7 linked regions of the Oryctolagus cuniculus genome follow. The protein of the gene in region 7 purifies or fractionates together with the protein of the main gene of each other region. This does not show direct contact. Links are inferred from orthologs where the notes say so. Each region holds a gene or a part of one and is shown on either strand. Other genes may lie near its edges. The genes, in order: ZNF219, BCL11B, SMARCB1, RBBP7, ZNF512B, HDAC2 and CHD3.

Evidence for each region.
Region 1: the proteins of CHD3 (region 7) and ZNF219 purify together in Homo sapiens (affinity purification with mass spectrometry; 3 studies listed by BioGRID and IntAct, counting the BioPlex papers as one, with this or other methods). This does not show direct contact. The link is inferred for Oryctolagus cuniculus from reciprocal best matches to the Homo sapiens genes CHD3 and ZNF219.
Region 2: the proteins of CHD3 (region 7) and BCL11B purify together in Homo sapiens (affinity purification with mass spectrometry; 3 studies listed by BioGRID and IntAct, with this or other methods). This does not show direct contact. The link is inferred for Oryctolagus cuniculus from reciprocal best matches to the Homo sapiens genes CHD3 and BCL11B.
Region 3: the proteins of CHD3 (region 7) and SMARCB1 purify together in Homo sapiens (affinity purification with mass spectrometry; 3 studies listed by BioGRID, with this or other methods). This does not show direct contact. The link is inferred for Oryctolagus cuniculus from reciprocal best matches to the Homo sapiens genes CHD3 and SMARCB1.
Region 4: the proteins of CHD3 (region 7) and RBBP7 purify together in Homo sapiens (affinity purification with mass spectrometry; 6 studies listed by BioGRID and IntAct, counting the BioPlex papers as one, with this or other methods). This does not show direct contact. The link is inferred for Oryctolagus cuniculus from reciprocal best matches to the Homo sapiens genes CHD3 and RBBP7.
Region 5: the proteins of CHD3 (region 7) and ZNF512B purify together in Homo sapiens (affinity purification with mass spectrometry; 3 studies listed by BioGRID and IntAct, with this or other methods). This does not show direct contact. The link is inferred for Oryctolagus cuniculus from reciprocal best matches to the Homo sapiens genes CHD3 and ZNF512B.
Region 6: the proteins of CHD3 (region 7) and HDAC2 purify together in Homo sapiens (affinity purification with mass spectrometry; 12 studies listed by BioGRID and IntAct, with this or other methods). This does not show direct contact. The link is inferred for Oryctolagus cuniculus from reciprocal best matches to the Homo sapiens genes CHD3 and HDAC2.

The regions. Positions count from the first base shown.
Region 1 is NC_091443.1:53,795,178-53,799,211, forward strand, and holds the start of ZNF219 (zinc finger protein 219), read left to right. Parts: upstream 1-1,234; 5' UTR 1,235-1,374; exon of another isoform or gene 1,375-2,632; coding exon of another isoform or gene 2,633-2,713; intron 2,714-3,051; coding exon of another isoform or gene 3,052-3,201; intron 3,202-3,320; coding exon of another isoform or gene 3,321-3,431; intron 3,432-3,717; coding exon of another isoform or gene 3,718-3,774; intron 3,775-3,870; coding exon of another isoform or gene 3,871-3,981; intron 3,982-4,034. Other genes in the region: TMEM253 (transmembrane protein 253), read right to left, coding at 2,633-2,713, 3,052-3,201, 3,321-3,431, 3,718-3,774, 3,871-3,981. UniProt on the Homo sapiens protein: Transcriptional regulator. Recognizes and binds 2 copies of the core DNA sequence motif 5'-GGGGG-3'. Binds to the HMGN1 promoter and may repress HMGN1 expression. Regulates SNCA expression in primary cortical neurons.
Region 2 is NC_091451.1:43,161,912-43,165,848, reverse strand, and holds the start of BCL11B (B-cell lymphoma/leukemia 11B), read left to right. Parts: upstream 1-1,137; 5' UTR 1,138-2,193; coding exon 2,194-2,251; intron 2,252-3,937. UniProt on the Homo sapiens protein: Key regulator of both differentiation and survival of T-lymphocytes during thymocyte development in mammals.
Region 3 is NC_091452.1:30,724,269-30,728,423, forward strand, and holds the start of SMARCB1 (SWI/SNF-related matrix-associated actin-dependent regulator of chromatin subfamily B member 1), read left to right. Parts: upstream 1-1,355; 5' UTR 1,356-1,571; coding exon 1,572-1,664; intron 1,665-4,155.
Region 4 is NC_091453.1:3,004,356-3,007,595, forward strand, and holds the end of RBBP7 (histone-binding protein RBBP7), read right to left. Parts: intron 2,026-3,240; coding exon 1,915-2,025; intron 963-1,914; coding exon 894-962; 3' UTR 501-893; downstream 1-500. UniProt on the Homo sapiens protein: Core histone-binding subunit that may target chromatin remodeling factors, histone acetyltransferases and histone deacetylases to their histone substrates in a manner that is regulated by nucleosomal DNA.
Region 5 is NC_091442.1:212,969-215,402, reverse strand, and holds part of ZNF512B (zinc finger protein 512B), read right to left. Parts: intron 2,398-2,434; coding exon 2,326-2,397; intron 2,242-2,325; coding exon 2,098-2,241; intron 2,007-2,097; coding exon 1,882-2,006; intron 1,803-1,881; coding exon 1,710-1,802; intron 1,633-1,709; coding exon 1,534-1,632; intron 1,459-1,533; coding exon 1,288-1,458; intron 1,185-1,287; coding exon 990-1,184; intron 798-989; coding exon 696-797; intron 380-695; coding exon 317-379; intron 123-316; coding exon 24-122; intron 1-23. UniProt on the Homo sapiens protein: Involved in transcriptional regulation by repressing gene expression. Associates with the nucleosome remodeling and histone deacetylase (NuRD) complex, which promotes transcriptional repression by histone deacetylation and nucleosome remodeling.
Region 6 is NC_091436.1:57,442,399-57,445,898, forward strand, and holds part of HDAC2 (histone deacetylase 2), read left to right. Parts: intron 1-699; coding exon 700-855; intron 856-2,718; coding exon 2,719-2,776; intron 2,777-3,500. UniProt on the Homo sapiens protein: Histone deacetylase that catalyzes the deacetylation of lysine residues on the N-terminal part of the core histones (H2A, H2B, H3 and H4).
Region 7 is NC_091448.1:52,449,511-52,453,010, forward strand, and holds part of CHD3 (chromodomain-helicase-DNA-binding protein 3), read left to right. Parts: intron 1-132; coding exon 133-277; intron 278-445; coding exon 446-608; intron 609-704; coding exon 705-826; intron 827-924; coding exon 925-1,060; intron 1,061-1,172; coding exon 1,173-1,274; intron 1,275-1,455; coding exon 1,456-1,584; intron 1,585-1,944; coding exon 1,945-2,053; intron 2,054-2,242; coding exon 2,243-2,375; intron 2,376-2,689; coding exon 2,690-2,885; coding exon of another isoform or gene 2,886-2,931; intron 2,932-3,500.

The sequences.
Region 1 (4,034 bases), on a different chromosome or scaffold from region 7:
CAACTTTTAAAAATACCATCATTGAATGTGTGCTCTGTAGTTTGCCACAGTTCTCATTGCTCCCTATTACTGCATACCCAATCTGCTTCTCTCATTTAAACCACTCCCTACCTCTATAGGCAATTTATTTTCAAACCCTGAAGTGCCTTATGGGTTGAAAGTAGTTTTCCATACGTGATTTTATTTTAGTTTTGAAGTTTTGATACTCCTGTGAGATAAAGGATAAAATTTATGGTTTCAACCTCCATGTGAAAAAAATGTAGTTCAGATACCTGACTTGCCCAAGCAACAGAATCAGAATCTAAATTTTTTTACCTCCCTGTCCAATGATTTTTTGAGGAAAATTTCTATTATGAACTTCACTTGGGAGATCATGGAACCAAAGAACTAGATACAGGCCTAAAAATTTAAACAGAAGCATTCCAACTGTTATGGTGCTCAAGATAGACCACGAATGATGAACCCTTTTTCATTTAATACATTTCTGCCTCTTCTGCTCTCTCTATGCATACCAAAATTGCCCTTATTTCCTTGAAGTTGAGTGTGGCTATTTGACTTGCTTTGGCCAGTGAACTGTGAGTAAAAGTGATGTGTCCCTTTAGGGGACAAGCACTTAAGAACCTAAGAACAATTCTTCATGCGTGCTTCACAGTTGGGGGGTGCAGCCCTAAGCTTCATGGTGATATGATAGGAACTCAAAATGGCGGCCCTCCATCAGCTTGGGTACCTGAGCCTGCTTTGAACAGAAAGTGTGAGAAACAGACCTTTGTGGTCTTAAGCCACTGAGGTTTTAGCATTGTTACCATGGCAGGCATCACCTAGGGTAATCTGAGACAAGGTTCATCTGCATGATCTTTGAGCTTCTCAAAGAACTAGAATACAACATTTAGACTTCTGATCACATCCTGAAAAGCTGGGAGATAAGGAAAACTGTTGATTCCACCCCCACTCCCCGTTACTCCCCGTCCAGCGGCTTCCCCGTCTACCATCAGTTTTTGACTTCCAGGAAGATTTCTTTCTCAGAGCCCCTCATCCAGGAGCTCTCCATTAGGCGGCAGTTACAGGGGGAGGCCCGTCTCCGGTTTCCTCCATTCCAGAGCCTGATCCCCAAACTGTCCCCACCCACTAGTCCTCACACCTAACCTTGTCATAGGGCGACTATTACCCCTCCCAAGGTGTCACAAACAAAAAGAAGCTGCAGCTGGCGCCACTGCAGTATCCAGGCAGGGCAGCCAGGCTGCGCTCTATCCTCACTGCTGCTTGGGCTTGGCTGAGCCGGGAGAAGCAGCATTCTCTAGGGACTGAAGCCTTCTCAAGTGGGATCAAAAATGAGTGTGAGGAGAATACTCATCCCGGGCTCTGTGTGAATTTGGGGTGAGTTCTCTTAGTTCTCCAGCTCCGGTTACTTTCTAGTTTCTAGCGGCTAGTGAGCTGCCCGGCTAGTGCTACTGGGACTCCTAAGTCTTCCCGGGCTTTTCCCAAGCCCACCGAGCTTGCCATCTTTGCACACTTGCAAAAGCCGTAAACGGCGGGGCTTAGCGCAACCAGAGATCCAGCAACCCGACCGCGGCCAGGATCAAAGGTCAGCGGGGCGGCCAAGAGGCCGAGCCTGCGCAGTCCCGCTCCCGCCTTGGAAAGAAAGGGTGGCGACAACGCGGGCTTGGTACACCGGCATGCTCGCAAGAGGCGGGAAAGCTGTAGGTCGGACCGCCGCGTCCCTCTTTGCTTGCCGGGTCCACCAGCCTGCCTAGCGAGTCTGGCCTCGGGCACTCAGGCCCCGGGGACGTGGGGCGAGAGAAAGGCCGCGCGCTTCTGACTCATCAATCTCCAACCCCCTTCTCGCGCGCGCTCCAAGTCTCAGGACTTTGGACCTGGGCACTCTTTCGTGGGGGCGCGGCGACAGCATCTGGGGAACCCCAGCTTTGCCAAGCGCCAGCCCCCAGCCCTCACCGGCTCCGATGCAGTCTGTGGGAGGGATATGGACCCAGAGTCTGCTCTCAGTTGCCCTGGCTAGGGTAGCGGCATCCCGGAGCAGGACGGCCCGCCCGGCTCCACCCCGCACGCAGGCCAGTGGTCGCGTCCGAGACAACTCTCGGCTAGGCCTCGACTTGAGCGCCTCGCGTCACTCAGCAGATGCACAGCGCCCCAGCGGCGGAGGGCAGGCTCTTCATTTCCCAGCAGGCCGCAGGGCAGCGGGGCATGCTGGGATGTGTAGTCTCCAGCGAGTAGACAGCAACTGGATCGAAGGCTGGAAGGCAGCTCCCTGAATTGGATTCAAGAGTTGGCGTGTGCGAGAACTGGGGCTTGGAGTGCAGGGGATTGTGAGAGCTGGACAGAAGAGCACAGCGAGATGAGGCAGTTGTGAAGGTGTATGGGCGGGCAGAGGGGAAGGCTGGACGCAGCTTTTAGGGTGGCGAGACCAGGGAGGCTGTGGTCCAGGTGTGTCTTCTAGCGAGGCAGGGGAAAAAGGGGAGGCTTGCTTTGAGTGAGAGTCGAAGGCACCGCCTGGGACTTCATGCCAGTGTCGAGGGAGGCCGGCTAGCTTCTGAGTTTGCTGGGGTGGGACACTGGAGCGTCTGGAGAGCCTCCTCGGGGTGGGGGAGACGCACCTGTCTGCTTCCGCTTGTCCGGCTCACTCGCTTGTCCTGGTTCCTGTGCTGGCCCCCGTGGAACCGTTGTCCAAACTAGGAACGTCCTCCAACTCGGAGAGGCCCTGAGATCCAAAGAAGCAGATTGTAGGAGTGAGAAAGAAGCCCTAGAAGCAGCTTCGTTCTAACCCATTTCCACCACCCTGAGCTTGCTCTTCCAGTACCTTACTTGGGCAGCTTCCTAATGCTCTCCCACCCTTCTAGCCCCAACCATTTAGATACCCAGTTCCCTCTTAGCCACCATTACAGGGGAAATGGCCAACGCCAGAAAGCCAATCAGTTTTAAGTCTAGGATTATTTTCACTTCCTTTTGACCCGTTGTTTTTCCTTCAGCATCGTGGATCAGGGTAGACTGAAAATACTGGCTGGCAGCTGACTGTCCTGTCCTCCCAGCCCCCAGTACCTCGTGCAGCTCCTCGTAGCGCAGACTCCGGCTCCTGCAGCAGCAGCCTGGCTTCCTCTGGCTCAGCAGGAAGAGGGCATATGCCGAGGCCAGCACTCCCCCTAGGGTGAATGCCTCAGCGCTGAGCTGCACCACCAGCAAGCCAGCCAGCTGTGGGGAGATGGGGCGGAGGATGCTGCAGGGACCCAGCACCTCTTTGCTTTGCCCTTTCTGCCCTCCATCTCTTTTTGCTCCCTCCTTCTCCCACCTTCCCCTTCATGCACTTGTACCTGGGAGGGGGCAGGTAGGGCAGGCCCCAAGGCTGTCTTCAACACCTCGACCACCACCACAATGAAGCCCAAGATCAGGTTGAAAATGTTGAATATCATCATGGTGCGCACCTGCCAGACACTCAGCTCAGCCTTGGCCAGCCTGGGGGGCTTATTCCAACATCAAGTCCCACCTGCAGCCTTGCTGAAAATAAAACCCAAATCCTGCTTCTCCACCTCCAACTAGGGTCATCATCCTGTACCTTTCTTGTGCTCCCTCATTAGTCTTTTAGGCCAGTGACAGATAGACAGATGAGAGGATTAGTCATCTCTTAGAGGACCACGTACTTCCTGTATGGAGCGGGTTCTGTGTGTGTGTGTGGGGGGGGGTGGACAGGAGTGCAGTCTCTTCTCTCACCTTCCAGAGGCGGGGTGCTCTTCGAAGCTCAAGGGTGACAGCCCCAGTGAGAAGACCCTGAATGGTGAGATGGGCAAGTGTGTACCTCTGATCTCATTAGGGTGCGGCCCCAGGATCTTCCTCCCTTCCACCCTCCCTTGCGGTGGGTCTTACTGAGACTCCAGGCCCGAGTGGCAGTGCTGTGGTCATGTGACAAGCAGAGTTCAGGCAGGCGACTGAGACAGCCAAGGGCACCACAGCTATGGCCAGCCATAGCTGGCTGACCTGGGGGCCAACACAGGGTGGTTGAGGGAGCACTGTCAGGAATTCCTCTCCCT
Region 2 (3,937 bases), on a different chromosome or scaffold from region 7:
CGGCCTCGCCACTGGCTCGGGAGAAGCCTGCCGAGCGGGCCCAGGCGCGGGGTGCGCGCGCGGGGGCGGGGGCCAGGGCCTGCCCGCCGAGCCCAGCCCGGGCCAGGCCCTGGCGCGCCCTGGCCGCGACCAGAGGAGCCCTGGGAAGGGCCGGGGGTCCAGCCGCGTGGCGCGCCCAGCCCTGGAGGCCGGGTCATCCAGCGGACGAAGTTGGCCGCCGCCGGGGGAAGGGCGCGGACGGGGCTGCCCACGGGGACTTCGGGCCGCGCACCGCCCCCCACAACTCCGCCGGGCCTCGCCCGCTGCGGATCAAACAGCTGCCGTGGCTGACCGGCGATTTCAAGTCCTCGGGGCCCGCCGAGCCGCGCGTGGGGGGTGGCCTCCAGGGTGCCGGGAGTCACCCCCAGCCGAGGAGCTGCGGCCACACCTCTGCCTGGGCCGGCGGGTCCGAGTTCCCGTCCCACGTGGAGCGCCCCCAGCTCTGCTCGGACCTCAGCGATAGGAGTGGGGCCGCGTGTGACCCCTGGGAGTCGCTGGGATGAGAGGTGGCAGGGCCAAAATTTGGGAGGAAATCCCTCCCAAAAAGGGCCTCGGAGCGAGGTCCCGGGTACCCCTCCCTCTCATTCACTCTGTGCACCTCGCTCTCCCACGGGGCCCACACCGGGGCTCCCGAAGAGGCACTTTTTGGGAAGTTTAACCCCAGGTTCCCCACTCCGGCCCCCCAATAAAACAAAAGTAAAAGCAGCCCGGCCACTTTTCCGGGGGCCCAAGCCGCTGAGCCCCCGGCCTCATGTGGCCGCCTCGCCCCCCACCCCCAGCTCCCCGAAAGCTTCTGGGCGGGCGGGTGGTACCGGCCGGCATTCTCTCACTTAGCCGCGCCCCCTTCCCGGGGGTCCTGGCCCCGGGAGAGGAGGGGGTGCTGGGGATTTTTGGGGAAAGCGTCGCCCCCCCCCGGCCCCCGCCCCCCGCCGTCCTCGCGCAGCCGGTGCCGGGGGAGCCGGGAGCGCAGCGGCCCGCGCTCGGCACGTGTGGCCGGCGGGCGGCGGGGCTGCGCGCGGGCGAGCGCGCGCCTGTGTGTGCGGCTTGTTCTCTTGCAGGGTACAATGTTAAAAAGCCACCGCTAGTCGCCCCCAGTGCTCCGACGCGCTGGGTCTTTTTGTCTCTAGTGCAGATTAAACGTCACGTCCGCACTTGAACTTGAATTTTATCCCATTGTACAGAGGCAGCCCCAGCCATAGAGAGACCGAGAGCTCCCGGAGAACCCGGACTCCGCCATCTTCACGTTGCAATCTATAAGCTCCCAGTCCGCGCCCGCACCGACCCAGGCGCCCTGGGCGAGCCGCCCTCAGCCCCGCTGCCCCTGGGCCCGCGGCGCCGGGGCAGCGCCGGGCAGCGCTCGCGGGGACCCGGCAGCCGCTCCGGCCGGCGCCCGCCTGCCAGGTGGACTGGGAGGAGCCGCTCCCGGAGTCCCCCGGAGCCGCGGCAGGGTCAGTCTCCGAGCAGAGCGCGGGCGGCCCGCACGCAGCCCAGACGCGGCCGAGCCGGGGCAGTGCTACCTCGCCGTGCGTTTTTGGAGGGGGCGGGGTGAGAGGGGGACGCGACAAGTCCCCAAGTTTGCTTGGCCTTTTTCTTTCTTTTATTTATTTTTTTTTCATTTGTTTGCATTTTTTTTTTCTCCTTTGCCCCTTTCCTGGTAGAAGTGCGCTCTCCATCTACCAGACCCCGAAAGAAAAGTGTCAGGAGCCGGTGCAGAAACCCCGTTCAAGTTCTCCAAGACGCTGGAAGTCCAGGTGGCCAAGCAGTTTGAAGAAGTCTAGGAGATTTTTTTTTCCTTCGGAAGAAGATATTTTTAAAGAAACCGGCCAGCGCGCGGCAAGCAGCAGCAGCAGTGGTTTTTGTTTTTGTTTTTTTTTTTTTCTTTCTCCTTTTTTAGATCGGGAGGTTTTTGGTTTTTTTTTTTTTTCCTTCTTTTTCTTCTCTTTTTCTTTTTGCAAACAAAACAAAAAAGAGCCTAGAAGACAGAGCAAAATAAAGAAGAAGAGGAGGAGGAAGAGAGGGCAGCAGAGGAAGGGGAAAAAAAACACCAACCCAGGCCGAGGAGGAGGCGCGGCGGCGGCGGCGGCGGCGGCTCGGACCCCACCCGGCCCCCATCGGTGCGGCTCTGCGGGCGATGCCGGAATAGGTGCCGGGGCAATGTCCCGCCGTAAACAGGGCAACCCGCAGCACTTGTCCCAGAGGGAGCTCATCACTCGTAAGTGTCTGCGGCGTGCGCGCCAGGGGCCCGGGGCTGGGGACACCGAGCCGGGCGCAGCCGGGCCGGGCCGGCCGCGAGCGCGGTGGGGAGGGCGGGGCGCCGCGGCAAAGTTTCTCCGCAGCCGGACGCGCCTCGGGCTCGGGGGCCTGCGGGGCCGGCGGCGGGCCGGGGCGGGCGCGCGCGGGCTGCAGGAGGCGTGTGTGCGCGCCGAGCCCGGCTGGACGGTCGCCCCTCCGAGCGGCGTGTGTGGCGCCGGCGCTGGTGGCGGGGCTGGGAGCGGAGGGGGAGGGGGCTGGGGGAGCGGAGGGGGAGGGGGCAGCCGGGAAGTGGGGAAAAGTTGGCGAGCGCGTGGGTCCGCGCTGACGGTGCGGGCGGAGGAGCGCGGGGCGCGCCGCGGGCGAGGGGCGGCCGCCGGCTGCGGGTCCCCGGTTGCCGCGCCCGGCCCGGCCCGGCCGGGCGCCGCCGGCCACGCCGGTCGCAGGAGTCTGCAGCCGCCTCTCTCTCTCTCTCTCTCTCTCCCCTCCTCTGCTGTTGGCAAAAGAATCCAGCTGCGCGGCTGCTAGCCGGGCGCCAGCGCCCCCTCCCCACCTCCGCCTGTCTCCTGGGATGATCTTGTCTGTTTTTCCCCTCTCCTAAAAAAAAAAGGTGGGGGGATTGGAGTTGGTGAAAAACCCGCGCTACACAGTGTGTGGGGGGGAAGGTTGTCAGGAGTGGGGAGAGACGGATGCGCTTGTAAAATAGCAAAAAAAAAAAAAAAAAAAAAAAGAGAGAGAGAGAGAGAGAGAGACCCCCGCCCCCCGCCAGTGTCTGCCCGTCTTCCCCATCCGAGCACGCGAGGCAGGGAGCCGTGCAGACGCGCCGGCTGGGGCCGATGGCTTTCCTGCGCGTGGCGGGGCGCGCACAGTCAGGCCGCTTCGCGCGCCGCGCGGGGTCCGTTCAGGAACCGGCGGAGCGAGCGCGGGCGGCCGGGCTGAGCGCAGGGGCGCCCGCCCGGGCCCCGCCAAGGGCGCCTCGCTCCGCCGCTCCGCCGCCGCGCGCCGAGCTCTCCCGCGTCCGCTCCCGCGCCGCGCCAGGGTCGCCGCGGCTCTCTGTTTTTGTTTTTTAAATTGCAATAGGAATCAAACGCCCTCCGGTGCCCCGCAGCCCGCCGTGCACCGCCCCGGGCTGGGGCCGGGCTGCCCGCGCGCGCCTCCGGCCGCCGCGGAAGAAGGCAGCCGCGCGGCCGAGGGCCGAATATTTATGTTACATTTTAAAAAATTTAAATAAATAAATAAATATATCCAGGGGTTCTCCCCTCCTCTGAAATCCCAGCACAGGAGCCATCTGCTCGGAGCAATTGCGGTGGCTGCTGTCTCCTTTGTTACACCCGATACGTTCGTAAGACTCTGGGAATTAATTATTGCTAATATTTTGGGAGGCGGAGTAGATGCTAGGACGGGGCTTGCCTTCCGAGAGGGATGCCGCCTTGCAGGGAAGACTGGCTTTCTTTTTTATTTTTCTTTCTTTTTTTCCCCCACCGGGCAGACATCAAAGACTCACTGGTTGCCTGCAAAACAAAATGTTTTGCAACCGACTTGAGCCTCCCGCGATCCAGGTCCCTTGCCCCAGCCGACAGGCCATTCCTTTACGGAAGCCCCCTCCCCCGGCAGGGGGTGGCTGTTCGGCCTCTGTACTGGTAGATGC
Region 3 (4,155 bases), on a different chromosome or scaffold from region 7:
TGTGTGTACAGCATGTACAAAGCCTTTTCTTTCTTCCTTTTTTACTGAGTGTTATTAAACATGGTTGTTTTCTACCTGCCTGCCTGGTCTCTCTTTGTGCAGCCAGGGTTGGGAGGCCTGGCTCAGGGTCCCCTCCTGTGCCATTCCTCCACCACGTCTCTCGTCAGACCCTTGCAATGGTTTCTTAACTGGTTCCCTGTTCCCTGCCCAGTTCACCCTGGAGTGCTGGTCATTTGATCTGATCGTGCCATGCCCCAGCCCCGATCCTGAAACGCTTTGGCTTCCCACTGTTGCGAGGCCTGGGAATAGAACTCAGGGCTCCGGGGCCCTTCCTAACTGCAGCACCAACTTGCATCCTAGTCTCACCTACCTCTGCTCCATAACTGTGCCTGCCTATCAGAGCTGCCATTTTATTAGACTGAACCGTACGACACTGTCAGTAGCAGGCTTGTCTTTTTAATTTTTAAGATTTATTTGAAAGTCAGACAGAGATCTTCCATCTACTGGTCCACTTCCCCCAAATGCCCAGGGCAGCCGAGGCTGGGCAGGGCTGAGGCCAGGAACTCCATCTAGCTCTCCCATATCCCAGGGTGTGCATTAGCAAGAAGTTGGAGTCAGCAGAGCCAGGATTCGAGCCCAAGTGCTCTGATATGGGATGCGGGTATCCCATAGGGTGTCTTACCCACTGCGCCAAACACTTACTCCATTAGTGGGCTACTTTGAATCCACTGCATTGTTCCACCGGATACACGGATTGCTTTGCTGTTTGCCTTAGTACAGGAGCCCGCCGGCTCTGGGCTGTGCGTGCCACAGGGCAGCAGCACAGGGTTGGACTTGCAGACACCCAAGTGCAGACTTAAGGGAAGCAGGGAGAAGGTGTTCCTTGCACAGCCTTCTGAAGTGCCAGCCAAAGCAAACAGCACCTGGGCCTTTGAATACCGCCAAGCCTCAGAGTTTTTTTTTGCTGGTGCCAGTCCCACCCAGTGTTGTCATTCCGCCCGTTCCCAAAGCCGCAGGGACAGCTGTGAGCCTGGAGCTGGGATGGGCCGCTGCGGTCTGAGGTGGGATGTGGCGGTGCCAAGCCGGGAGCACGGCCGCCACGCCATTCAGACTTGCAGATGTCGCTCTGTCCTCCGGCCCGACATCAAGCCTCACTTCATGTCTCCTCTCCTGGGCTCAATTCCAGCCCTGGCCGTGAGACTGGGAAAGTCACTGCCTGAGTCAAGGCCATCGTGGCTATTTCTGTCCGTGAGAACATTTCGATTTGGGAAGTTGCCTGGGAGGCAGAGGAAACGGGTCGTGGCTCCTTTAAGGGGCCCGCGGGAGCGCGCCCGGCCTTTTGTCTGGGCGGCGGCGTGCGCGTCGGCGTCAACGCCCGCGCAGGCGCACTGAGGGCGGCCTGGTCGTCGACGGCGGCGGCGTCTGAGGAGCCCGGTGGTGGCGCGAGCGCCCGCCCAGCCCGCCCTTTGCTTCTTGGCCTCGGTTCCCCTCAGCTTTGGCGCGCCCGGGCCCCGCCCCAGCCCTCCCGATTCCCCGCAGCCCGGCTCCGGCCTCCCTCTTCCGCCGCCGCGATGATGATGATGGCGCTGAGCAAGACCTTCGGGCAGAAGCCCGTCAAGTTCCAGCTGGAGGACGACGGCGAGTTCTACATGATCGGCTCCGAGGTAGCCCGCGGCGAAGGCGTCTCCTCGCCCTCCCCGACCCCGCGGGCGCCCCGGGGCGGGCCTGGGCGCCGGGAGCGCGCGCACCCCCCCATTCATTGCCGCGGGCGGGCTGGCGGGCGCGTGCGCGCGGGGGGCGTGGTCGGGGGGCGGGGCCCTCCTCAGCTCCCTGCAGCCGGGGCTTCGGGCGCAGGGAATCTGGGTGTCCTGCGGCACCCGAGGGGCTGTGGGAGCCTCACGCGCGCCCCCTCCACCCATTGCTAGGGTCGCCAACCAGGGACTGAGTGAGGGGCCCAGTCCCGCTTTGTGTCCGCAGCCCGTGAAGCTGGGGCGGGGGAGACGGTTTTGTGACCCCTGTTTTAAGGATGTTTGCTTTTGCATGGAGAAGACCCCCGCCCCGCCCCGGGCCGGGGGCCTCCTGGGCTGGGTCCTAAAGCAGTTTTGAAAGCCTCACTTGACGCTTTGCGGAGAGGTGAACTGAGGCTGAGTTTTCGCAGGGGCAGAGCGAGCGAGCCCAGGGGGCCGCCATGGTCTTACAGAAGCCACAGCAGTCTGGGTGGTGGGATCTGCGTGGAGCGTTTATCCACGTTTCTAAAGCCCGCGCTGTGGTGGAGGACCCCGTAACGCCTGCCTGGCGTTGGACAATCACAGGTGTCGGTAGCATCAGGACTTCAGCCTTTTTTCTTTGTCACCGGTTTTATAAAGCACAAAGGGCAAAGACACTGCATTTTTCATGCTGTCGCTTAGATGCTGCTGTCCCAAGACGGCTGTGCTGGGGGAGTGGAACCAGTGGCTGTGGAGCCACCGGGGCTCGGGAGAGCCTCCCTGGTTTGTAGGCGCCTGCCTGCACGCGGGATGGAAAAGGCAGTGGGGAGTTCAGGTAGAGGATGTCGGGGAGGTTGTGTTACCTGATTTAATGAGTGCACAAGGAGGCAGTTTGGCCTTGATTCTGAGTGGATGGTACTTTTTCTTTCTTTTTTAAAGATTTATTTATTTATTTGAAAGGCAGAGTTACACACAGAGGGAGAGACAGAGAAAGAGAGAGAGAAGTGCATCCACTGGTTTGCTCCCTAAATGACCACAATGGCAGGGCTGGGTCAGGAGCCTGGCACTCCATCTGGGTCTCCCTCATGGGTGGCAGGGGCCCAAGCACTGTGGCCATCTTTCACTAGTTTCCCAGACGGTATTAGGGAGCTTGATAGGACGTAGAGCAGCCTGGATTTGACCAAGAGCTTATATTGGGGCATTGAGGGTGGCAGCTTAATTTAGCCACATAGCACTGTCTTGATGATATGGGGTAAGACAGGTTGATGGATCAGGGCTATACCTCTCCTGCCCTGTGTGATCCTATCTGCCTACCTGTCAGTCAAATAACCCCTTTCCCAAGATATATCTCCCTTTATCTGGAACCTGGAGACAGTACCATGTAACCACTCCCCTTTCTTCTTTGTTGTCATCGTCGTCTTACTATTTTTATAAAAATCAGCTACCGAGCAAGAGAGAGAGAGAGATCTTCTATCCATTAGTTCACTCCCCAGATGGCTGTAAGAGCCAGGGCTTAGCCAGGAGCCAGGAGCTTCTTCCAGGTCTCCCGTGTGGGTACAGGGGCCCAAGCACCTGAGCCATCTTTGGCTGCTTTTCCCAGGCCTCAGCAGAGAGCTGGATCAGAAGTGGAGCAGCCAGTTCACGACCCTGCACTCCTATGGGATGCAAGCCCTGACCAGTACACTGTCTAACCTCCTAAGAGTCTAGAAAGGGGGAGCTCGCTCGCTCGCTCATTGTCTGTCTCTGTAGAGGAGCATGAGATAAGGAGCTGAGGCACCGTTCTGTACCTCCCTCCCCTCCTGACCCACTCTGTTCCTGAGCAGTGCCCAAGTATGTGTATGTTTTCCTTACCCTTTCAATAAACCTTATCACTTTGTGCGTTGTATTTGTGCCTCTACTTAGTATGCTTCTCCAGGTAAAAGGCAAGGACTTGGAATAGGGATTTAGACCCCACCTTGCCCACGACATTGATACCCAATAGCTCCTGGCGCAGTGTGGAAGGGGTGACCCAGTTCCTTTCCCTTGGGAGACAAGCAGTGCATTCAGAGAGGTGGGCTGGCCACAGCAACACACCCAGTGCCTCCCTGTGTCATCCATGGAGCTGCCTCGGGAGAAACCCGCAGGTGCCGTGCGTGCCTCCCTTCCCCCAGCATCTGCAAGCAGCAGTTTCCACCAGGCCAGGCTCACAGAGCTGAGAGGACCCTAAGGGATCCCTAGGTCCAGCATCTTCATTTTACATTTGGGAAACCTGGGTCCAAGGAGACTACAGCTGGGCCAGGGAAAAGCCAGGCCAAGGGCGCCCCAGGGCCCTATGCGCTGAGGGGGCCTTGGGTGTCCCGGAGTTCTGCAGCCCCTAGGCAGTGACCAGGGCACTGTTGTCAATTTCTTTCTTTCTTCTTCTTCTTTTTTTCCTTCTATTTTTATTTACTTGAAAGACAGAGAGGGATCT
Region 4 (3,240 bases), on a different chromosome or scaffold from region 7:
CCACCTCCTTCATCCTCGGACTTGTAGGAGTACATTTCTTGGTCTTAAGACCATTGTTTTTTAGTTATGTATGCAACTGCCTTTATTACACCTGGTTATCACAATTCAACTCTCAGGTGTTGCAGAAAAATCTACCTCTTTCAGACTGTAGATGGAAATAACTGTGAAAAAAATGATGCAGATTATCTTCTAGTTTGTGCTAAACACACTGCTTTATTTTTACAGCCCACGTCTTTCATGAGGATACGAATTGTTAAGAGGCAGTCTTGTTTTGCTTTTCAAAAACATTTTGTAGAGATTTTTCACTAATGTGAATCTGATTTTATCTACTCAATTCTGTATAGATTAAGTAAATATGTATGATAAATTTGACAGTTTCTGTGTATTCTTTTGTTGTTCATGTGACCTCAACTGTGTAGGAAGTCCATAGGTACCCATTGTCCTTTCTGCTCAAAAATGCGTGAGCACTCACCCTGACCTTTTAAAAGAATGAAACAAAGTTTATTTTAAAACTTTATTTCTGCAAAGCCAATCAAGAAAGTGTTGGAAGGAAAAAGTGTAAAAGTTATTGTTGCATATTTGGGAACAGCAAGCACTTAGTTTGAGAAAATGAGGACTTAAACAGTTGAACCCAAGGCAGTAGTACCCTGCTACTTAGGATCTTAAAACAATGGTGATGTTCTTTCTTACGCAACATTCTTTTCTTCCCTAACAGCTACAATATGATACAGTACGCAATAGCTCACTTGAAAGTGCTAGAATCAGAGGGTGAAGAACGCCATAAGCCATCCCACTTAACAATTCTTACTATACAATGCCTTTTTGGTGCTTGATAATCAAGCATTCTTTCATGTTACCATTACATTCAACAGAAAACTTCTCATACTTTGGGTTTAAGATCCTTGTCCCTCCAGTTCCGATGTTGTGACTTCTGACTCTTCGTCATTGTAAATATTTTCGGCCTGGAGATAACAACCAAATAAAGTCACAGGTAAAACTCTTCCACAATGTCTTTACAAAATCACCAACAAAATTTAGTTCACTGATCAATGTATTTCAGTGTTGGAAATTAAACATGGACACATTTTAAAGATTTTGTAGTCTGCAATATGTAATTCCACTTACATGCCTAGCCATCCTGTGATCACTGTTCATTGAAGTGTTTTTGGCCGGCGCAGCGGCTCACTTGGCTAATCCTCCACCTGCGGCGCCAGCACACCAGGTTCTAGTCCCGGTCGGGGCACCAGATTCTGTCCCGGTTGCTCCTCTTCCCATCCAGCTCTCTGCTGTGGCCCGGGAAAGCAGTGGAGGATGGCCCAAGTGCTTGGGCCCTGCACCCCCATGGGAGACCAGGAGGAAGCACCTGGCTCCTGCCATCGGATCAGCGCAGTGCGCCGGCCATAGTGGCCATTTGGGGAGTGAACCAACGGAAAAAAGGAAGACCTTTCTCTGTCTAAACCTGCCTGTCAAAAAAAAAGTGTTTTCCAAAAGTCCTTCAAGCATCATTTAGAGGGAGCTATGGCCATGTTATTTATGAAAGACTTGGTCAAGTGCTCAAAGAACTCAGCATGACTTGAACATCTTGATGTTCCCCTTTTGTCTCCACACCTATGACAGAGCACAGGCCCTGGAGACAAAGGTATCCAGCCAGCCTTGGATGAAGAGCACAACAATCAGAGCAGGTGCTGCATCTGCAACCAGCGTGCTCATATAGAGACATTACAGACATTTCTCCCAACCCAACAGGTGCTACAAACTGCAGATCAAGAAAGTACCAGTATCGAACTAAAGATTGTGTTAATATGGAAAATATTCTTTTGCAATGTTTCAACACTGGTTTTGTAGAATGTGCATCTTTTATATCACTAGCAAATCTCCTTTATGAGACAGTTGTGAAAAAACATTTCCGCTCACCATTTGCCATATCTGCATGATGTTATCCTCAGACACGGAGCAGATGACCCAAGGCTCATTGGGGTTCCAACTAAAATCTGAGATCTTGGCAGTGTGTCCTCCATGAATAAACTGTTAATAAGAACAAAAAAGGGTCCTGGTTTCATGTCATCTTCTATTATTCCAAATAGCTAAAAATTTTAGTTTTGAGAGTATCATTTTTGGGGGTGGCGAGAACAACTGTCACAAAATTGAGAGGGAAGGCAGCAACAGGCTCAATCTGTCCCACATAGGCCTAAGGAGTCTCCTGGGTCTCTACCTTTACTAAAAGAAATGCAGACCTCATACCCTCCCCCAGTCTTTCCAAAGGTACATTGTCCCAAGTTAAGAAAAAAACCTCAACCCCTGGGGCTGTAAAAGCATATCTCCAGGGTTTCCCATGGAGGCCTAAGCAGAGAGCTTTGCTGAAGGGGTAGCGTCTGCTTTCCCACAAGAGAACCTCACAGGAAGGCCCTGTATCTTATCTTTGCATTAAGATTCAGAGCAACAGCTCTTGTCAAGGACAATACAAAAGGCACACTTTCTGACAAAGTCTGCTTTGACTGCTTAGACAATGAGGTCTCTGTCAATTAGTCTACATGCGATGTAACTATTTTAGCTAGTATTCTATCAGTTTACAAATTGAGGGTATAACAGTTTCTCAAAAACACTTATGGGGTATACAAGTAAAAATATGGCTCAAAATATGGGTCACCAGAGCAAGACACTGTCATATTGACATGATAGTATACAGTTTACTCAAATGTCCCGATTTCAGGGTTTGTGTGTGTGTGAAAAGAACAAAGTCCTAGAGGATTTTCAAGGACCTCCAGGAAACGGTTGCAAAGCCATGATGTACAAAGTAATAAACTTTGCCGTCTCTGCTATATATATAAAAAAAAAGCTGGAAACCTTGAAAACATCACGCTAAAGTTAAAGAATCAGTCACAAGGAACGCATATTTTATGAGTCCATTATATGAAATGCCTACAATAGCCCAATCTTAGAGACAAAGACGGATGGTGGCTGGGAGCCATGGGAAGATCAGGAGGTGAGTATTAGGCAGTTTCCCTTTGAAGGAACAAAAAATGTTCTAGAACTGACTTGTGGAAATGGTTGTACAACTCTGAATATACTAAAAAACACTGAATTGTATAAGTAAGTGAATTGTATGGTATGTGAATTATAACTCAAAGCTGTCACTAAAATAAGTGAAAATAGCAGGACAAAAATAGCTGGGAGCGATGCCTTTCCTAGAAAATACTTAAAAACTATGAAGTGCTGCTTCACAAAACGGATTCTTTGGAA
Region 5 (2,434 bases), on a different chromosome or scaffold from region 7:
CAGCCCAGCTGCTGCCCTCGCACCTCCGCGTGCGTCTTGAGGATGTGGTACTTGACGCCGCTCTCGCTGCTGAACTCCTTGGGACACAGCAGGCAGTGGTACTTCCCCACCAGGTGGTCCCCCTGCAACACACCTGCGTGCAGTCCCCAGCCCTCCCCCACGGAAGGGGGGCAGCCAGAGGGGAGTGGTGGCAGTGCATGCTGGGAGGGGCCGGGAGGGAGGAGCTGCCAGCCCTCAGGCCTGGCCGTCCAGCTCCTGCACCGGGCTCCCCGGTGGGCCCAAGCTGGGAGTGGCCACAGGGAGCCCCAACACTGACCTTGCCGCAGCTGGCGAGGTGGGCCTTGAGGCCGGACACGCTGGAGTAGATGGCTTCGCAGCACTGCGGGCAGGAGGCAGCGTGGGGGAGGGCCTCAGGCCAGGGGAGCCCGGGGCCTCTCTAGGGCAAGTGCAGGGGCTTCTGGACCCTGTGAGCTCTGGGCGGAGAGCAGGCTGGGCACAGGGTGGGAGGTCCCGGCCTCCTCTGCCCACAGGGGTCTCCATCTGAGCACCCTGCAGGGGCCCGTGGTCGGGGTGGATTGGTGGCTAAGGACAGGCCCCTCCTGGCAGGTCTTGGCCTCTGTTCCTACCCAGACGGTCACCCCGGGCTCAGCACCCCCCTCGGCCTCCCCACGCCCCCTGCCGGCCGCCCCGCTCACATCATTGGGGCAGCTGACGTGGCCTTGCTCCTTCACTTGGCTCTTCCACGCCTCCAGCAGCTGTGGGTTCAGCGTGGGCAGGCCCGGGCGCGTGTAGTTGAGCTGTGAAGTCGGGGGCCAGGTGAGCCACGCCCTTACCACAGGCACAGTCTCCGAAGACTCTCAGGGGTCATGAGAGCCACAGCACCAGGCCAGCGGCTCATCCGCGGGGACAGGGGTCCCAGCGCACGGCACCAGGCCAGCGGCTCATCCGCGGAGGCAGGGGTTGGAGCCTGCGGCCAGCGGCTCACTCACCCGTGCTGTCTCGGGAACCAGGTCATCTTTCATGCGCCGCTTGGTCCAGTCTCGGGCCAGCTCGTCCTCTGCGATCTCCTGCAGGTGGAACACTGCCACCTGGGCCGAGGTGCGGCGGATGCGGCCGCTCGGGGTCCGTTCCACACCCAGCAGGTCCTCGGCCTCAGAGGGCTTGTCCGTGGGCTCTTCGGGGGGCTGCAGCGCCAGGTGAGCCATGGGGCAGGACAGCGAAAGACAGGGGTCAGAGTCAGGGTCAGCATGAAGTGCAGGCTGCCGGGGGCACGTGAGGGCCACTCACCGGGGCCGCGTGCTCCGAGCGCACGTGGTAGTCGTGGCCAGCCTTGGAGCGGTAGGTCTTGCCACAGTGGGCGCAGGGGAAGGAGGGGCTGTCCACCTCGCAGGGCGGCTTCCCACAGCGCCGCTGGTGGTACTGGTAGCCCATGAGGCTGGAGAAGGCGGCCCCACAGCCCTGGGGTTGGGGGCAGACATCAGCTGGGCGCCCGGGCAGCCCCGTGCCCCGGGCTGACCACTGGGGCACACTGACCTCTCGGGGGCAGCGCAGCCGCCCCATCTGCTTCAGCACCTTGCGCAGCCGCTCCCGTTCCTCCTGCTCACCCCCCTCAGAGGCGTCGGCGTCGGAGGGCTGAGGACAGGGCCAGCCTCAGAGCCGTCGGCCCTGGGCCCGGCCCGGCCCCGGGACTGGGGACTGCGGGGTGGTACCTTGGCGCTGTGCTCGGCCATGCTGTGGTAGTTGAGGCCTGCCTTGGACTTGAACTGCTTGTGGCAGTGCTGGCACTTGAGCGCATCCTGTAGCTGCGGGGGGGGGGAGGGGTGAGCAGCCTGGCCCCACGGGGCCCCACCCCCACCCCACCCCTGAGCACGTGGCCCTCACCTTCTGGCACACCTCCATGTGCCGCTTGAGCCCTGCCAGGGTCTTCCGGGCGACCACGCCGCAGGTGGGGCAGACTACGGCCCCCCGCTCGTGGATGGCGCGCTGCCACTGCTCCTCAGCGCCACCTAGAGGCAGGGCCGGGCACTCAGGGACTCCAGGTAGGGAATCCAAGGCCACACGGTGTGCCCCCACCCCCCAGCCCGCCAGAGACCCCACCTGGGGCTGAGTGGGCCACAGGGGCCGGAGCCTCCTTGCTGACTGCGGTGGGAGGGGTGGGCACCTTCCTCCGCGGGTCCTCGGGGCCTCCCTCCTGCTTCTTGGAGCGGTGAGTGCGGGCCTTGTCCTCGGCTTTGGCCAGGCCTACGGGCACAGCAACAGGGGCGTGGGGGTGTGTTGCTGAGGGCCCAGCGCGTGCCCGAGGGGCCTGGCTGGCTGGGGTCTCACCTTTGAGCCCGAAGGTCCCCGAGATGGACGGCTGCTCCCCCGTGAACTTCTTGGGCGTCTTCTGCTTCCTTCCTGACTCGGGGAGGGGGTGGAGATTCTGGTCAAACTG
Region 6 (3,500 bases), on a different chromosome or scaffold from region 7:
ATGGGATGCTGGTGCTTCAGTCCAGGGCGTTAACCCTCTGCGCCACAGTGCCGGCCCCTGCTTTTTCCATTTTTAATCTTATGCATATTTGTCTTTGTGGTGCTTCATAGTCTAATTTGCATGTACAATTTCAGTTTAAATAACTATACATGTAAGATATAAAATTTCCAAAAACTATCCACTTATGTATATTCAGGAATAAATTGGGAAAACATGCCATTTGCTCAAATTAGAATGTGTAAAATAGTAAGCACTTGCTGTTTGATTTTATAGTCTTTGATTACACTTAATATGATTATAGATTTATATCATAATGGTACAGAGATTGTATTTCACATTAATGGTACTATTTTTTATTTTGTCTCCTTTTCCTCAGAACCCTGAAGTAAAAGGCCACCTTTTAGGTATAAAGATGTTATTCCCACTTGCTCTAAGAGAAGCATACTTTTTTCCTCCAAACTTTTACCTTTTAGAAAATCAAAAGATCCCCAAATGTCTCTTTAACTGTTTTATAAACCACAGCTAAGTTTTCGGTATTAGAGCAAACCATTCATTTTGTTCCAATCTTAAAATTATTAAGCATCTGTTATCCTATACTTTGAAATGTGGTAACTGATGAGTACATTTGCATGAGTGTGCTGTAATGATTTTAAAGCTTGTGACTTTTCCTCAAAGCTTGTTAAAATCTTACGTTAACAGTTCGAGCATCAGACAAGCGGATAGCTTGTGATGAAGAATTCTCAGATTCTGAAGATGAAGGAGAAGGAGGTCGTAGGAATGTATCTGATCATAAAAAAGGAGCAAAGAAAGCAAGAATTGAAGAAGACAAGAAAGAAACAGAGGACAAAAAAGCAGGTCAGATTTAATTTTTTGGTGAATGTGTTCTGATTTAAAAATTTTTTTAATTGAGAACTACATTGAAATATAAAAATTTCCTGAAGTCATCTACTGTAAGTATTACAGAGAGGTGAGTATGCTAGGTAAATGCTATTTTTTCCTCCATATAAAGTTTGGCTTTTAAATATCTTTGATTGAAATCTTTGCAAGTTCCTACTTACATTTGATTTTATAATATAGGAAACCTTATTCTCTTGATGATAAAGGCTTAAATAGTTAGAGTTAAGAGAGAGGGTAAGTTATAAATCTGTAGTCTACGAGAGAGCTGAAATTCTAAGATAATTTTTAACTACCTAAAGTTTATGTAGATGAAATCAACCTTTACTTAATACTAGTTTTATCATTTTTAATAAGGCCAGATAATAGACTTTGTTCAGAAATTGAGGAAAACACAAAGCTCTCAGAAAAGATTAAAAATATACTGCTTTCTATTACCTTTCTATCTTTGAAGATTGTCAGCTCTAGGCAATTGAATTTGCCACCAGAATCTGTGATCGTTTGTCTGTATTTATATGTCTCCATGCCAGCTGGCTAGGGAATACAGCATCTTAAATACCTGTTTTCAGCACTTGGTATGTTTCTTTATGCAAGTAACAGTGATGAGCAAAAATCTTAGTTGACCTGTTTTGATATGAAAGCAGAGATAGTAGTAGTCCAGTAAACTGGCTCTTTCTCTTCTCTAGTGTTAGGAATCCATATCAAAGCTGATACTTCTAATTCTGTTCTTTGGTCATCAGGCTTCGTGATTCTTAAAATTTCTCAGCCTATAGAAAAAAGAAAACTTTTAGGAAAAAACTATGGGTCGAGGCCATAGAGCCATTTCTTTTTCATGTTTCCCTCTCCCATCCTGTTTTGGCACTTTGAGTTCACATAGCCAAAATTAAACAACAAATGCCATAAAATCCATATTGTCAACATGGGTGTTCATATTATAGGACTAGACTCTTGCAATGTGTAGAATACTTAAGAATATTTAAAAACTTTAAAAAAAATTGCTTTTGCAGTCTTCAGATTGTAGTGTTAACTTCTGTTGAAAAGTTTTAAACTTTTCAGTATTTATTTAGTGAGGGTTAGAAAATAAAGGTATGAGGCAGACACTGTCGCAGTGGGTTAAGCTGCTGCTGGGGATGCCTGCATCCTGTGTCTGAGTGCCAGATTTGACTTCTGACTGCTGTTGCTTATTCTAGCTTCCTGCCGAGTTGCATAGGATGACAGCAGATGACTGTCAGGTGATGATCCCTGCCACCCACATGAGAGAGTTCCTGATACCTGTCTATGGCCTGGCCCATCCCTAGCTGTTGTGGGAATTTGGGGAGCAAACTAGCAACAGGTGGAAGATATCTCTGCCTCTCTCTATGCCTTTCAAATACATAAATAAGTAAATCTTAAAAAAAGAAGAAAACAAAACTAAAGGTGGCAGCAGCCTCTGGTTGTGTCATCTACTCTCCATTTCTCATAGTGCTCTAGCCGCAGTAGGGTTTCTCCTTCCATCCTGCCAATTTCTTCTTAGCTCAGAGTCCTTAAAACTTTGGAGTTTTTTTCTTCGTCTATTCAAGATGTTTCTCTTCCCTTTTTATCTACCAAAACTACATTCATCAGGACAGCTTCAGATGTCACATCTGTGGTAGCCGTTCCTCACCTGCCACAGTGCTGCATTTTCCTTTGAAGTCCCTATCCTCGCTGTGATAAGGCTCAAAAAGGGCAGTGACTGTTAGGTTAAAGCTTAAACATCTACCATTTAGTATAATACCTGAAATAAAACTTATATACTGAATTATATTTCAAAATAGATTTTGATCTTTTCCTAATCTTTGTTTCTAGATGTTAAGGAAGAAGATAAATCCAAGGATAGCAGTGGTGAAAAAACAGATACCAAAGGGTAAATGATATTCCTTATCAATTAATTGTTATATATTAAAAAATATATTTCCTTGGGGTGTGTTTCTTTATTGGTATCTGTACTGAGAAGTACTTAACTAAATCTGAGAACATTGTCTGAGATATTCTAAATTTCAGTCTGTCTTAATGCATGAGACTTGTGCCATCTTACTCATTGGTTTTTGTCATTGGTTTACTACTCATCTGTTAAGTAGCTTGCTTTTAAAAACTACATAGAATTACTGCATATTGTAATTAGATAATAAATCAGTTTGAAACTCTTTCTTTAAATGTGCGCTCATGGTTTTCATGGTGTTTTGTTTTGTTTTGTTTTGTTTTGTTTTTGACAGGCAGAGTGGACAGTGAGAAAGAGAGACAGAGAGAAAGGTCTTCCTTTGCCGTTGGTTCACCCTCCAATGGCCACTGTGGCCAGCGCGCTGCAGCCAGCGTGCTGTGGCCGGCTCACCGCACTGATCTGAAGCCAGGAGCCAGGTGCTTCTCCTGGTTTCCCATGGGGTGCAGGGCCCAAGCACTTGGGCCATCCTCCACTGCACTCCCTGGCCACAGCAGAGAGCTGGCCTAGAAGAGGGGCAACTGGGACAGAATCTGGTGCCCTGACTGCCCAGGACTAGAACCCTGTGTGCCGGCGCCTCAAGGCGGAGGATTAGCCTAGTGAGCCGCGGCGCCGGCCTCATGGTGCGCTTATTTCTGTATTTTAGTGTTAT
Region 7 (3,500 bases):
CTGAGAGTGGCAAGGGGGAGAGGCCCAGGGGAGGAACCTGGGGGCACCTGAGTTCAGTAATTCCTGTGCCTCCCTCACTGCCCTGTACCCCTTCTGAGGCTCCCTAACCCCCTCCCACCCCCATGCTCCTAGGGCCTATGTGTCTCTGTTCATGCGCCATCTGTGTGAGCCTGGGGCAGACGGCTCAGAGACCTTCGCTGATGGAGTCCCCCGGGAGGGACTGAGTCGCCAGCAGGTGCTGACCCGCATCGGAGTCATGTCTCTCGTGAAGAAGAAGGTATCAGTCTTCCCGTCGCCCAAAGCGTCAGCTGGCCCCTTGGCCCTGTCTTTCCTCTGTCTTCCATTCTTGGGTTGTGCAGTCACACTAGGGCAAGACACGGGCTAGGAGCTTCCCGAGTGTCCGGTGCCTCGAGCTGACCTCTGGCCCATGACGCCCACCCACCAGGTGCAGGAGTTTGAGCACATCAACGGGCGCTGGTCAATGCCAGAGCTGATGCCTGATCCCAGCGCCGACTCCAAGCGCTCCTCCCGAGCCTCCTCTCCGACCAAAACGTCTCCTACCACTCCCGAGGCTTCTGCCACCAACAGTCCCTGCACCTCCAAGCCTGGTAACCAGGGGCAGGGAGGGCGGGGCAGACAGAGGTGGGGTCAGGAGTCTGGGTCGGGGAACGGCTGCCTTGCTCACTCCGCCTTCCCCTCTGCAGCTACTCCAGCTCCAAGCGAGAAAGGAGAAGGCATAAGGACGCCTCTTGAGAAAGATGAAGCTGGAAGCCAAGAGGAGAAGCCAGAGAAGAACAGCAGACTTGGGGAGAAGATGGAGACAGAGGTGTGTGGCTGCCCGGCTCCCCTGAGGACAGGGCCTGTAGGGTCCCGGGGGCTGGAGCCTGGGAGCGCCCAGCTCATCCTGACTCCATTGTCCTCTAGGCTGAGGCTCCCAGCCCTGCCCCCTCTCTTGGGGAGCGGCTGGAGCCAAGGAGGATTCCCTTAGAGGATGAGATCCCAGGGGCGCCTGGAGAGATGGAGCCCGAATCTGGGTTCCGAGGGGACAGAGAGAAGTCAGGTGAGTGCCGGGCCTGAGGGATGATGGGGCCTTAGAACCTGGGGATCCCCTCTCCCAGGGCCAGGGGATGAGGGTGACGGCCTCCCTTCCTATCCCCTGCCCCCTCCCACAGCCACAGAGTCGACGCCAGGAGAAAGGGGGGAGGAGAAGCCGCTGGATGGACAGGAACACAGGGAGAGGCCGGAGAGGGAAACAGGGGATTTGGGCAAGAGAGGTAATGAGTGGAAGGACTGGACACCCGGGGCCCGGAGGGAATCAGGGGAGGTGGAGTCTGGGGTTGCAAATGCCTGGGTCCTGGGTGGGCCACTGTTCCAGTGGCCAGTACAGTGCCAGTGGTAGTCTGGGACGTGGGAGGAGACCGTCCTGAGGGGTGAGCCTTGCCCTGTCTGTCGCAGCAGAAGATGCAAAAGGTGACCGGGAGCTTCGACCTGGGCCCCGGGATGAGCCACGGTCCAGTGGGCGCCGCGAGGAGAAGGCAGAGAAGCCCCGGTTCATGTTCAATATCGCAGACGGTGGCTTCACAGGTACAGGAAGTTCTTGGCCCTGTCTGCGCCTCACTGGGAGTTGCTCGTGGCGGGGGAGGGGAGGGAATTCTCATTGTGCCTGAGCCTTCTGCTCGAGTGACTGCAACGAGGTGGTGCGTGCTGACGCTGGCCCCTGCTCTGCATCGTCCTTCGGTCACCTCCCAACTGCATCTCTAATCCCACCCTCACTCTTCAACCGAACTTGAATCCTGCTCCTGACTTCATTCCTCACCTAGCCTCTACCTGGTCTACGGCGCCCTTAGTGTCCCACTGTCGCTGTCTTCCCACCTGTACTTGTCTGTCGGACGCGATGTGGTTTGCAGCCCCCGATGCCCGTTCTGTCTGCTGTCTTCTCTTCAGAGCTTCATACGCTGTGGCAGAACGAGGAGCGGGCAGCTATTTCTTCCGGGAAACTCAACGAGATCTGGCACCGAAGACATGACTATTGGCTTCTGGCCGGGATTGTCCTGTATCCTTCGATACAAATACAGGAAGAGAAAGGTCCTCTTAGGGAGAGGGGAGCCATGGAGAAGACAGAGTTCACGTTGAGAGCAGGGGCGTTCGTGCCAGACTTTGGGGAGATCAGACCAAAGGGAGGAGGTTTTCGCAGGCACGTCCCTGTTAAATTCCTTGACGGTTCCCTCCCCTTCATTGGCAGCCATGGCTACGCACGGTGGCAGGACATCCAGAATGATGCTCAGTTTGCCATTATCAATGAGCCATTTAAAACTGAGGCCAATAAGGGGAACTTTCTGGAGATGAAAAACAAATTCCTGGCCCGGAGGTTCAAGGTGGGAATGAGGGAGGAATGGAACAGAGTGCAGGAGGGCCCGGGTCGGGCTGGGAGTGGGCAGGTCTGGTGGAGCCCTGGGAAGGTGCACACCTCCGAGGCTGAGACCAAGGCGGAGCTTCGTGTTTGGGGCTGCGGTCCGGATCAGGGTTGATGCTGGGGTCACAGTGTGGAGCCGGGGGCGGGGGGGGGGGGCAGTGCCCTGGGCCTGCAGTGAGGACCCAGTGGGTCTCCAGTGCTGTGGGGTCTTCCGTTGTCTCACCCACTGCTGGCAGAGCCCGCGTTCACCCCCAGCCCCAACCCCTGTGTCCTCAGCTCCTGGAGCAGGCGCTGGTGATAGAGGAGCAGCTGCGGCGGGCGGCCTACCTGAACCTGTCGCAGGAGCCGGCGCACCCCGCCATGGCCCTCCACGCCCGCTTCGCCGAGGCCGAGTGCCTGGCCGAGAGCCACCAGCACCTCTCCAAGGAGTCTCTGGCGGGGAACAAGCCGGCCAACGCCGTCCTGCACAAGGGTAAGGGCCGCGGCGGCCCCGCGCGGGGGAGGGCCCACAACGCTGCGTAAGTCTTCACCCCGCACCCCTCAAAATCTCCCCACCCCTCTGAACCCTTTACCCTCTGAACCACCCCCCCACCCCTAACCCCCACCCCTAGCCCACTTGGCACTCGCTTGGTTTGTAGCCTCTAAGATGAGCCGAGCCTCATCCATGCCTGAGAGCATTCACATCAGTGCCCAGTAGAGGGACCCCTACCCCGAGAGTCCCTGCCCACGCCACACAGTGGGACCTCCTCACTGGCCACTGGCGGTGGAGCTGCACGCCTGCCACCCTGCTCTGACCGCCCCATTGGGAGTCTTGGCTGTGTGCATGCCACGGAAAGTCTCAGCTGCAACCCTGCAGATCACATTGGCTCATGAGGCAGAATCTACCACCCACCCACCCCTCTGCCCCGCCCCCACGGAACTTCCCTGTGACCCTCAACCCTGCCTTCCACACCCTCCTACCTCGTTAATGATAGATTCCATCCCAGAGCCCTGTAACCATCTAATCCTGCCTGGCGGAGGGACTGACTCCTGGCCCCTGTGACCCTCATAATTCTTTGAATCTGTACTTACTGATCCTCTAACCTCC